2 linked regions of the Drosophila melanogaster genome follow. The gene in region 1 interacts genetically with each later gene. Each region holds a gene or a part of one and is shown in the gene's direction. Other genes may lie near its edges.

Evidence for each region. A genetic interaction does not mean that the proteins touch.
Region 2: of Idh (region 1) and D2hgdh, changing one suppresses a phenotype caused by changing the other (phenotypic suppression), as found in Drosophila melanogaster (one study listed by BioGRID).

Annotation. Positions count from the first base shown.
Region 1 is NT_037436.4:8,355,867-8,360,817, reverse strand, and holds Idh (isocitrate dehydrogenase), read left to right. Parts: upstream 1-1,877; 5' UTR 1,878-2,160; coding exon 2,161-2,262; intron 2,263-2,692; exon of another isoform or gene 2,693-2,745; coding exon 2,746-2,802; intron 2,803-2,882; coding exon 2,883-4,163; 3' UTR 4,164-4,414; downstream 4,415-4,951. Other genes in the region: Culd (CUB and LDLa domain), read left to right, coding at 4,610-4,813, 4,876-4,951.
Region 2 is NC_004354.4:2,139,752-2,145,487, forward strand, and holds D2hgdh (D-2-hydroxyglutaric acid dehydrogenase), read left to right. Parts: upstream 1-1,737; 5' UTR 1,738-1,855; intron 1,856-2,147; 5' UTR 2,148-2,251; intron 2,252-2,935; exon of another isoform or gene 2,936-3,178; intron 3,179-3,240; 5' UTR 3,241-3,305; coding exon 3,306-3,497; intron 3,498-3,559; coding exon 3,560-3,701; intron 3,702-3,775; coding exon 3,776-4,469; intron 4,470-4,535; coding exon 4,536-5,109; 3' UTR 5,110-5,186; downstream 5,187-5,736. Other genes in the region: Pgd (phosphogluconate dehydrogenase), read left to right, coding at 5,656-5,663.

The DNA of each region.
Region 1 (4,951 bases):
TTCGGCATTTTAAATATTCTAAAAGGTAAGTGGAGCATTTGTTTAGCCTTATATAAACCGGTTCACACTCCACGCCAAACACCCACACTTCCGATCGCATTCCGCCCAGCTATTTACTGCACTCAAAGGCTGACTTGCAATTTATCTGAGCAAATAAAAAATGGTGGATTTCCAGATCGGTTGCAATACGTAAATTTGCCGCAATTCAAGCCTCCTTAATGCAAATAAGTTGCGCATTTTAACTTTATGCATAACCTCTGGCCCAACCTATTTGGGCCCGAACTTTCCCCACCGGTCTGTTTTCATATGCATTTTATTTGTCTGCCGCTGTTTTGTTTTTTTCTTTGCACCGGTTTGCCTCCTCGAAAAAGAGAGATACGGATAAAAAAAGTGTGAAGAGACGACAGTGTGAAAGAGGGGGATATATGTGGAGAGAGAGAGACACGTAACCCATTCGACAGGCCTTTTCACATCCACCTGATTCTCCAGGTGCTGTCCAAAGTTTAATCTTGAATTCGTGTCGACAGTTTTAATTAAACCTATACAATTACTATGCATATCTACAAATAGATGGTTCGAGAAAACCTCCAGATAGCTCGTATCTCATTGGGACTTTTGCATGCACAATTTGGAAATGTTTTTAACTTTCTAAGTTTGTCCTATGTTTTGAGTGCTTAAACAACTTAAACAGTCGACGTTTATTTTTTTCATTTATCAAACTAGAAGTCAGATCTGAATACAATTAATTACTATAATTAGATTATCGTAAACTTATATTTGATAAGGATAGATGGACTCTTTTATTAACTTGTCAGTCGAAAAATTAAAACCATAATTTTATTAGGTTTTCTTTTTTATTTCTAGCGAATTTTGTATTAACAGTTTCATAAAGTTCAAGGGTCAAAAGTCATCATGCAATCTTTTTATTTCAACAATAAATATTTCTGGGACTAGAAAAACACCAGATGAGAAAATATCAGATTAGATCTAGATAATTTATTCGCCCCGTCATTACCAGCTTATTTACCAATCGCAAGTCTTATCAATATCGTACTATGTTCGAATTCTCCCAGTTGGACTAGAAAAAAAAACGCTTGTGAAATTCGTTTGGTGAAAGCATAAATATTGTTATTATATATAATTGTGGGCGTGGCCTCAGCTTATGGCGTGTTCGGCGATCGCGCCACCTCAATATGTTAATTAGGTACACATGTACCTATAAAGACTTAGAGATATTTATATTAAAGTCAGACAATGGATCTATTAAATATGAGAAGAAAAATCCAAAAAAACATCACGCAATTGCTATTTTAATTTGGAAGTAAATGGCATTGACTGAGTAGATAAGAATGGTAGACGTTTCAAGATAATCAGAGCGAGCCTCCTTCGCAACAAAAAAAAAAAAAGATTGGCGCCCAAGTTCAAATATTATCTAAGCTTTAACATGTCAGTTCGACTATCGTTATCGATAGTACCGCACGTACCAGCTGATTTTGAATTCGGGTGAAGTTGAATAAATAAGCTTAATGCCACGCGCTTTTCTAATTTGTATTCCTTATCAAAACAAGTCGGCCGTGAACTTTAAATAAAAGTGGCTAGCCCGCAATAGTGGAAAAGTTTTTCGCCAGCTGATAAACGCAACAGTTGTCATTCGGAAGAGAGGGACAATGCCACCCGCAATGCGAAAGCGATTGACAAGTCAGCCGGCGATAACGATTACATGTTTACGCGTTCGCCGAGTGCTTATTGTTTTTTATACTCTCGTTACATTATTAATTAAAACACTTGCTTTTAAGTGTGCCGAGTGTTGTGAGAGCAGCTTATCAAAGTCCGAGGTTCTAAATCTTATCTGACTGGGCATTTAGAACGTTGTGATTACGCCGATTGCGCAACAATTTGACGATTGTACGCCACCCAAGAGAGTCGGAAACTGTAGCGCTTAACGGCACTTTACAGTTATCAGTTACGGTTAGAGCGCGTCTGACGCCCACAGCATTTAATTTTGCTTTGTCCGAAAATTGTTCTCTTTCCCGGGACTCCAGTGTCATATTGTCTCGTATTGTTTCACATTGGTGACAAACACTATCGTCTCTCGTTTCCAGTCGTCGGTCGGTTCATTCATAATAATAATACCCACATCCACACCAATCCGGTTGTAAAATGTTCGCCCTGCGCCGCACAGCCGCAATGATGACGTCGGTCCACCGGCAGCCGCATCTCAGCCAGGCCGTTTTTCGGGCCAATTTCGCCATCAGCGCCGCGGTAGGTCCTCCTTGTATCCTCGCCCTCTGTCGCTCTAAATCTCTTTGCTTACTAAATTTCGGAATAGGGTGGGTCGATGAGCAGGAGAAAAAGATATTTTGAATTTTTTGAAGTCGGTCTCAATATTAAGATTATAAACAATCACGTAGTCACCTGTGCTGCTAGCATCCGATAAATAGGATTACTATATTTACTGTTTATACAAAAAAATTGAACAATTTTTTCTTAAATTTATAACCTATGAATGCAAAGTAGAGATATTAACTTTTAGGCAAGTACCTTAATAATTACGTCGTCACGACGAAATATTAAATATTACAAAGTAAAGATAAGGGATTACTTTTGAAACACGGTGTATTTTAATTTCCATCCATCAATATCGACCCACCCTATCCCAGGCTGATCAAAGTTTACTTTGCTTTGACCAGTTGTCAGTTTATTATCGTCATACATATAAGTTTCGCCTGTATCGCCTGTGCTTAGGACCCCAAAACCCATAAGATATCCATGGATAATGAAAGGATGTCCGCCGTGAGCGAGGTGAATACCCCAATACCGCAGCATTCAGACACAAATCCATTTTTCATGTAGCTAATAAGATTCCCATCCTGCCCTTCAAGCACTCAAGTGTGGTATGCTCTCCCGAACAGATGGCCCAGAAGATCAAAGCCGGTCCCGTTGTGGATGTCCTCGGTGACGAGATGACCCGCATCATTTGGGACTCCATTAAGAGCCAACTGATTCTGCCCTTCCTGGACATTGAGCTGCATACCTACGATCTTGGTATTGAGAACCGCGATAAAACCGAGGACCAGGTCACCATTGACTGTGCTGAGGCCATCAAGAAGTACAACGTGGGCATCAAGTGCGCCACAATCACTCCCGACGAGAAGCGCGTAGAGGAGTTCAACCTGAAGAAGATGTGGAAGTCGCCCAACGGTACCATCCGTAACATCTTGGGAGGAACCGTCTTCCGTGAGGCAATCATCTGCAAGAACGTGCCCCGTCTGGTGACTGGCTGGCAGAAGCCTATTGTGATCGGTCGCCATGCCCACGCCGATCAGTACAAGGCCGTCGACTACGTGGTTCCCGGACCCGGCAAGCTGACCCTCACCTGGAAGGGAACCGACGGTCAGGTGATCGATGAGGTCATTAATGACTTCAAGGGCCCCGGTATTGCCCTGGGAATGTTCAACACGGACGATTCCATTGTGGACTTTGCCCACGCCTCTTTCAAATATGCTCTGGACCGCAAGCTGCCGCTGTACATGAGCACCAAGAACACCATTCTGAAGAAGTACGATGGACGCTTCAAGGACATATTCGAGGACCTGTACAACAAGCAGTACAAGAAGGAGTACGAGGCGGCGGGCATCTGGTATGAACACCGTCTCATCGACGATATGGTTGCTTATGCCATGAAGTCGGAGGGTGGCTTCGTGTGGGCCTGCAAGAACTACGACGGTGATGTGCAGTCGGACTCCGTTGCCCAGGGCTACGGATCTCTGGGTCTGATGACCTCCGTGCTGCTATGCCCCGATGGCAAGACCGTGGAGGCTGAAGCCGCTCACGGAACGGTGACGCGTCACTTCCGCTTCTACCAGCAGGGCAAGGAGACCTCCACCAACCCCATTGCCTCGATATTCGCCTGGACCCGTGGCCTGCTGCATCGTGCCAAGCTGGACAACAATGAGCCACTGAAGCAGTTCGCCGACACCCTTGAGCAGGTGTGCATCGACACAATTGAGAGCGGCGCCATGACCAAGGATCTGGCCATCTGCATTAAAGGCAACATCAACGCCGTTACTCGCAGGGACTACCAGGAGACTTTTGAGTTCATTAACACGCTGGCCAAGAACCTGGAGGGTGCCCTGGCCAAGAATGCCGTTGCTGCCAAATGACTATCCGGCACTCAGTCCGAGCAGCAGGCCTCGCATCTCTAGAAAACTACTCAGCGATGCCTTGTCCTCGTCACCATATTCACAATATTTCCATTCGTTTTTGTAGATGTGCATGTCCTAGGCTAAAAATCCGTGTCCTCGATGCATGTTTCCCACTGTTTCATTGTCTCTGCGAGACGCAAAAAAAAACCCTGATTTCCCTTTAACGTCTAACGGAAAAGAAATTTCAAATAAATGTATTTTTATACCGGACTCGAGAGGTCTTTAACCCAGTCGAGGGTGGGCTCGTTACGAGGCCCGGTCCACTTGTGCGGCTTCTGATGGCTCTGGGTTTATTGGATTTGCCAGCGAAATGGCCACAGTTGTGTTCTAACACTTGGCGGCACCAGACCGAGACGGTTCAAGCGGAAGGGGCTCAGGATCCTGTTAGAAGGACGAAACTATCGATGCTAGCCGAAGCATTGGGCTATGGCTACCTGCTGGCCTACGTGATCTGCCTGCTCTGCTGGCCAGGAGAGGCGTATCCCGCCAGCAGTAGCTACCGGGATCTGGATATATGCAATCATTGGGACGGAAGACGTCACTTCCTGGAACTGGGAAGTCCAGCTGGAGAGGTGCACGCCAGGAATGTGACTACTACTGCCTATAGAGTAAGTGTATTTACAAGCTTCTCCAGACGGGATTTGGTCAGCAATTATGAACTTAAAAACAGAGCTCGCCGCTGGTTTTTAAGAACGATGCAGTGGCCGGGGATGTGTGGTACCAGTGCAGCCTGGAGCTGGTCACCT
Region 2 (5,736 bases), on another chromosome or scaffold:
GCGACCTTTGGAACCAACCCACCCCTTTCCACCATTTTCCGTGGCCTGTACAAACCGATTTCCCAAACAAACATTATACAATTACCCTCAAAAGGGGATCCATTCTGATGTCCCAAGGGGTGTACACGTAATCCCACCCCTAAGATCATTAGGGGTGTGAACGAGCGTAGGAATTGAAAATGGCAGGGGGAGCCAAATAGGACTATTTGCCGTTTCAATTGTCTTCTAATCATGTCCTCTTTATGTATTCTATTAAACCGCAATAACTCCATTTTCAAAATATGCCTATATTTTTGTCACCGTCTGTAAATTTGCAAACGATTTTCAAACAGAGATGTGTGGTTGCGCTTGCCATTGTTTTAATTGCAATATATATAATGCAGCACTTGGCGTTATTTTATAATTTCCATGCGTGGGTAGAGTCCGTTTTACTTGGCAGAAGTTCTAAATTTAATGGATCCACACCTTGATACTCAGAAGTATTGAAGAAAAATCCTAAGAAACTGTCATAATAACTGAACTAAATTACTGGTTTTAGGAAAATTTTACTGGTAAGGAAAATGAAAGTGTTTACTAATCCTAAACAGAACAATAGACATTTAACTTAATACCTTTCGGTATGGAGACACACAAATTAATCAAAACATACCCAACATGAGATACAAAATTAAATATTGAACTCCATGATTGTAAGCTATAAATTTTAAGTTATTAGCAATCGTTATTGGGACTTTATCGATACCCAAGAAGCAATTATTGGAGTCAACTCACGAGTTGCGAAACAGGTACAAGTGTATGAGAATGTTATCTTCTCCATTTTTCTTTGGGTACAATAACAAAGTTGATTGAATTGTAGAAGTCGCTGCTAATTGGCAGTACAAAATGCCGACGGAAGATCGAAGCGAATAAAAAATGGGCGCACCACCGGAAAAGGTTTTTTATGGGGTGCAAAAGAGATAGCACCATTGTGCCGCCTGCGGAGAAGAATAGGACAGAGACAAGCTAAATGTTTAGTGGTTCAGTGGGCGTGGCTAACGCATGTGTGGTGAATTAAAGTGGCTGTATAACAGTTGTTATGCGAGGTGATATCCGTACTGGTTTTGATTACAAGTTTGCAATTTTAGGAATAAACGGTATAAAAATATGTATTAAATATGCTTAAATTTAAAACTAATTCTAGCGGTTTATATAATCTCTTTATATAAAAGATGTTAAGACTTTCATTTCTACACAGTGAATTTGCAATGCAGCTAGCTATATTTTGAAAAGCAACTAAGGCATAAATAAAACACAGAAGTAATAATAATAGTAAATGGTAATTGTTGATAACAAATTCCAATAGGTAAACAGAGATTTATCAATTTGATTTCCCAAAGCATTAAGATTTTGTTTGCGGTTATTAGAAGTAATTGAATTATAGAAAAAACATCCCAAAAAACAAAAAATTTTGTATTAGTATATTGTGTTATTTCCCGTTCACGAATCCATAAAGAAGTGGTAAACAGAAACAGTAAAACACAAATCGATCCCCAATATGAACTGTTGAAATTTCTACAACGCCGCTGTGGTGTGCTCACTCACTCGCTTTCGCTCTGAAAGCTCAGTTCGCTCTCTCTCCTGGGGAGCTTTCGCTCCGTGATCATTTTGAATTCTTTGATGGAGGGGGGGGGGGGGGTGTTTGGCGCCTATCGTATCTCTTAACTAACGCTAATCTGCCCCTGTTTTGCGTTTCGAATTTTAGTTGCGGTTTGTTGTGATTCCGGGTTGGACGCTGCTCTGAAGGACATCACTGACTTATGGATGAAAGGAGTAGCCGGACCTCGACGTGACCCCCATCCATCCGTACATAAACATTGTAAGTTCAGTTGGTGTTCCGATCAACATGCTTTTGAGTGCTTCTGCGTTAGTTTCTCTTTCGGTTTTTCAATTTTCCATTGAGAGATTCTGGCGCGTGAGGCTCTCCCATTCCCGGTTACTTGTCGTGTGTTAGTGAATGAGGATCCTAATTAATCCCTTTAGTAACTGCAGTGACACATCTGATATTCGTTTCACAACCGGTTTATATATGTATGCAGATGCTGATATTGTTTTCGCGCTTATCAGCTACCTGTTAACCCAGTGTTTCTGTTTGTCTCGCTTGTTTACAGACAACACGCGTTCGCACCCGCCCCCACACACACACATACACAAAAGCTCGAATTTTTTGACGTAATGAAACAAAACGACAAAAATACAGAGCAAGAGAGAGCGAGTGAGAATAAACATAGATCTCAATAATGATTACGAGGGATGGGCACTGCTATTAACCCGCTAAAAGACTATATTCATATATGCATTATACTTAAAGTATTTATATTAAGTACTTAACTTAAATATGTAAGAGATAGACAGAAGGAGGTGTTATAAATACTCCTGTGAAAATTAACAAATTGCGTATGTGCAGCTCCAGATTATATAACAATTGCAATAGTGAATTTAATGCCTACTGGTCTTAAATATGTACATAACATGAAATATTGTTCGTTGCAAAATACAAATACATTTTTGCACGAAGGCTAATCCACCGTAACCGGGTGGTGCAAATCCTCCAGGCATATCTATCCATGCATATACCCGTACCCGTATCCGTATCCGAATCCGAATCTGTATCTCTTCCAATCTGGCCCCGAGCCAAATTGCTTTATGACCGTTTCTGTGTAGGGATCTATCTACCTGCCGGCAATAATCTGTGTGGACTCATAAAGATCTTGACTCCACGGACCGTGGATTGCACTTTTCAAACCAGACCAAATCTAGACCGTGCTGCGGTGTGCGTGTGTGCGAGTGTGTGTGTGCGTGGTCCATAATAAATATGCTAATTTCGCATGCACGCGCAGAGTCGGAGGGGCTGATAACGTCGCCATATATAGTGATATACCTAGAGCCCGAGAGGTCTAGTGGAAAAGTTCGGTTTCCTGGTGTCCCTGCTATCAGTGCGATACGGCCCGTGGTGAGGAGAAGATTGCGTCCACACCCCCCTCGAGTGGATGAATGTTGGTGTGATAACGTGATAAGCATCCTAGTGCTCCGGGGAAGTCCGGCAGTCTGCCATTGTGTCTAAACAAAGAGAGTCGGCTTATCGAGCCGTTCCATAATAATAATAACTTCGCTTTTTATGCATCCTAACGCTTAATATAAAGTAACGAATTTTGTATGGCCCAAAGGTATTCCACAGTGTACTCATCCCATTGCCCATTTCAGAGACATATAACAGTTGCGGCATATAACAGATAAACTCGAAGCCCTTTCCGCAACCATCCTCCACGATGAGATTCCAACAGCTCCTGCATGTGCGCAGATTGGCCAGCGCCGGGGCCACCACCTTGATGAGGCGGCCTATCACCACCACCACCATCACCACCACCAGTCGCACCGCCCTGGCAGCCACCTACCCCGCTTTCGCAACCACTGTGCGCACAATGGCGGGCAGCGGGGCTCCGATCCCGGAGCTCACAGAGGTAGGTGTTCCTGTGGCGAGTTGTCCGCAGCGGAGATGCAACTGATGCAACCCACATTTCAGATCACCGACAACGTGCAGCGCGGCAACTACGCCACTCTGACCGACAAGGATGTGGCGCATTTCGAGCAGCTCCTGGGCAAGAACTTCGTGCTCACTGAGGACCTGGAGGGATACAACATCTGCTTCCTTAAGAGGATTCGAGGTAGGTTGTGTAACCAAATTCATTCACATTCGTGTGCCCTTTAATGAATTTCTCCGATGAATTGCTTCAACCAGGCAACAGCAAGTTGGTGCTTAAGCCCGGAAGCACGGCGGAGGTGGCCGCCATCCTGAAGTACTGCAACGAGCGTCGTTTGGCGGTGGTGCCGCAGGGCGGGAACACAGGTCTAGTGGGCGGATCCGTGCCGATCTGCGACGAGATTGTCCTTTCTCTAGCGCGCCTGAACAAGGTGTTATCCGTGGACGAGGTCACCGGCATTGCTGTCGTGGAGGCGGGCTGCATCCTGGAGAACTTCGATCAGAGGGCCAGAGAGGTGGGCTTGACGGTGCCACTGGACCTGGGCGCCAAGGCCAGTTGCCACATCGGGGGCAATGTGTCCACAAACGCGGGCGGAGTGCGGGTGGTGCGTTACGGCAATCTGCACGGCTCTGTTTTGGGCGTGGAGGCGGTGCTGGCCACCGGTCAGGTGCTGGACCTTATGTCCAACTTCAAGAAGGACAACACCGGCTACCACATGAAGCACTTGTTCATAGGATCCGAGGGCACTCTGGGCGTGGTCACGAAGCTTTCGATGCTCTGCCCCCATTCCTCGCGAGCGGTGAACGTGGCCTTCATCGGCCTGAACTCCTTCGACGATGTGCTGAAGACTTTTGTCAGTGCCAAGCGTAATCTGGGCGAGATTCTAAGCTCCTGCGAGCTGATTGACGAGCGGGCCTTGAACACCGCCCTCGAGCAGTTCAAGTTCCTGAAGTGAGTTGCGCCACCTTTGTCTTCTCTGAGCGTTACCAATCCTGTTCACAAACTTATTTCCCATAGCTCCCCCATTTCGGGATTTCCCTTCTACATGCTCATCGAGACCTCGGGCAGCAACGGTGACCACGACGAGGAGAAGATCAACCAGTTCATTGGGGACGGTATGGAGCGTGGCGAGATCCAGGATGGCACCGTAACCGGTGATCCCGGCAAGGTGCAGGAGATCTGGAAGATCCGCGAAATGGTGCCGCTGGGTCTGATCGAGAAGAGCTTCTGCTTCAAGTACGACATCTCGCTGCCTCTGCGGGACTTCTACAACATTGTGGACGTGATGCGAGAGAGGTGCGGTCCCCTGGCCACAGTTGTCTGCGGATACGGCCATCTGGGGGACTCTAATCTGCACCTGAACGTCTCCTGCGAGGAGTTTAACGGCGAGATCTACAAGCGGGTCGAACCCTTCGTCTACGAGTACACCTCCAAGCTGAAGGGCAGCATTAGTGCGGAGCACGGCATTGGCTTCCTGAAGAAGGACTACCTGCACTACTCCAAGGACCCGGTGGCCATTGGCTACATGCGCGAGATGAAGAAGCTGCTGGACCCCAACAGCATCCTCAATCCCTATAAGGTGCTTAACTGAAGGCTTCTACCTAATAGATTCTATTTTTTTTGTTTGTGTGTAATTTTCATAACCTTATAATACAGAAATGGCATTAGAAGTGAATTTTGTTAACTTGTGAAGTTAAAAAGGACCATCATATTTGGCACGAAACCAATGGGCAAAACTTACTTATAAAATAGTCCGAAAAAATAGTATATACCAGTTTTTACAGTACCACATTATAGGTACTCGGAGGTAATAATAGAAAAAACACTATCTTTGCATTTACTGTTACACTACGAAGCACTATATTTAGTAGCAGTACTCATTAGAGTCCACTCACAAAATTAGCACCAACCGGCAGTAATTGGTCAAGGATCGGCGATAGCTTCAAACTCCGAAGTTCAAAGTCAAACTGCCGCCCTGCGAAAGCTTCGCGAGTGGAGCTTTTCTGCACTTATCGATAGCTAACATTGTGGCGCGACTATCGATCGACGAGCTGCCGCTTAACAGTGCCATATATAGATTGTAACATTAGAAGCTCAAATCATTGTTGGAGCACAAACCACAAAGAACACACGAAACATGAGCGGGTGAGTAGAGGGAAATTCTCTTTTCCCCGGAGTTTTCCGCGATCCTAACGTCGCCCATTTCCGGATTTCTTCC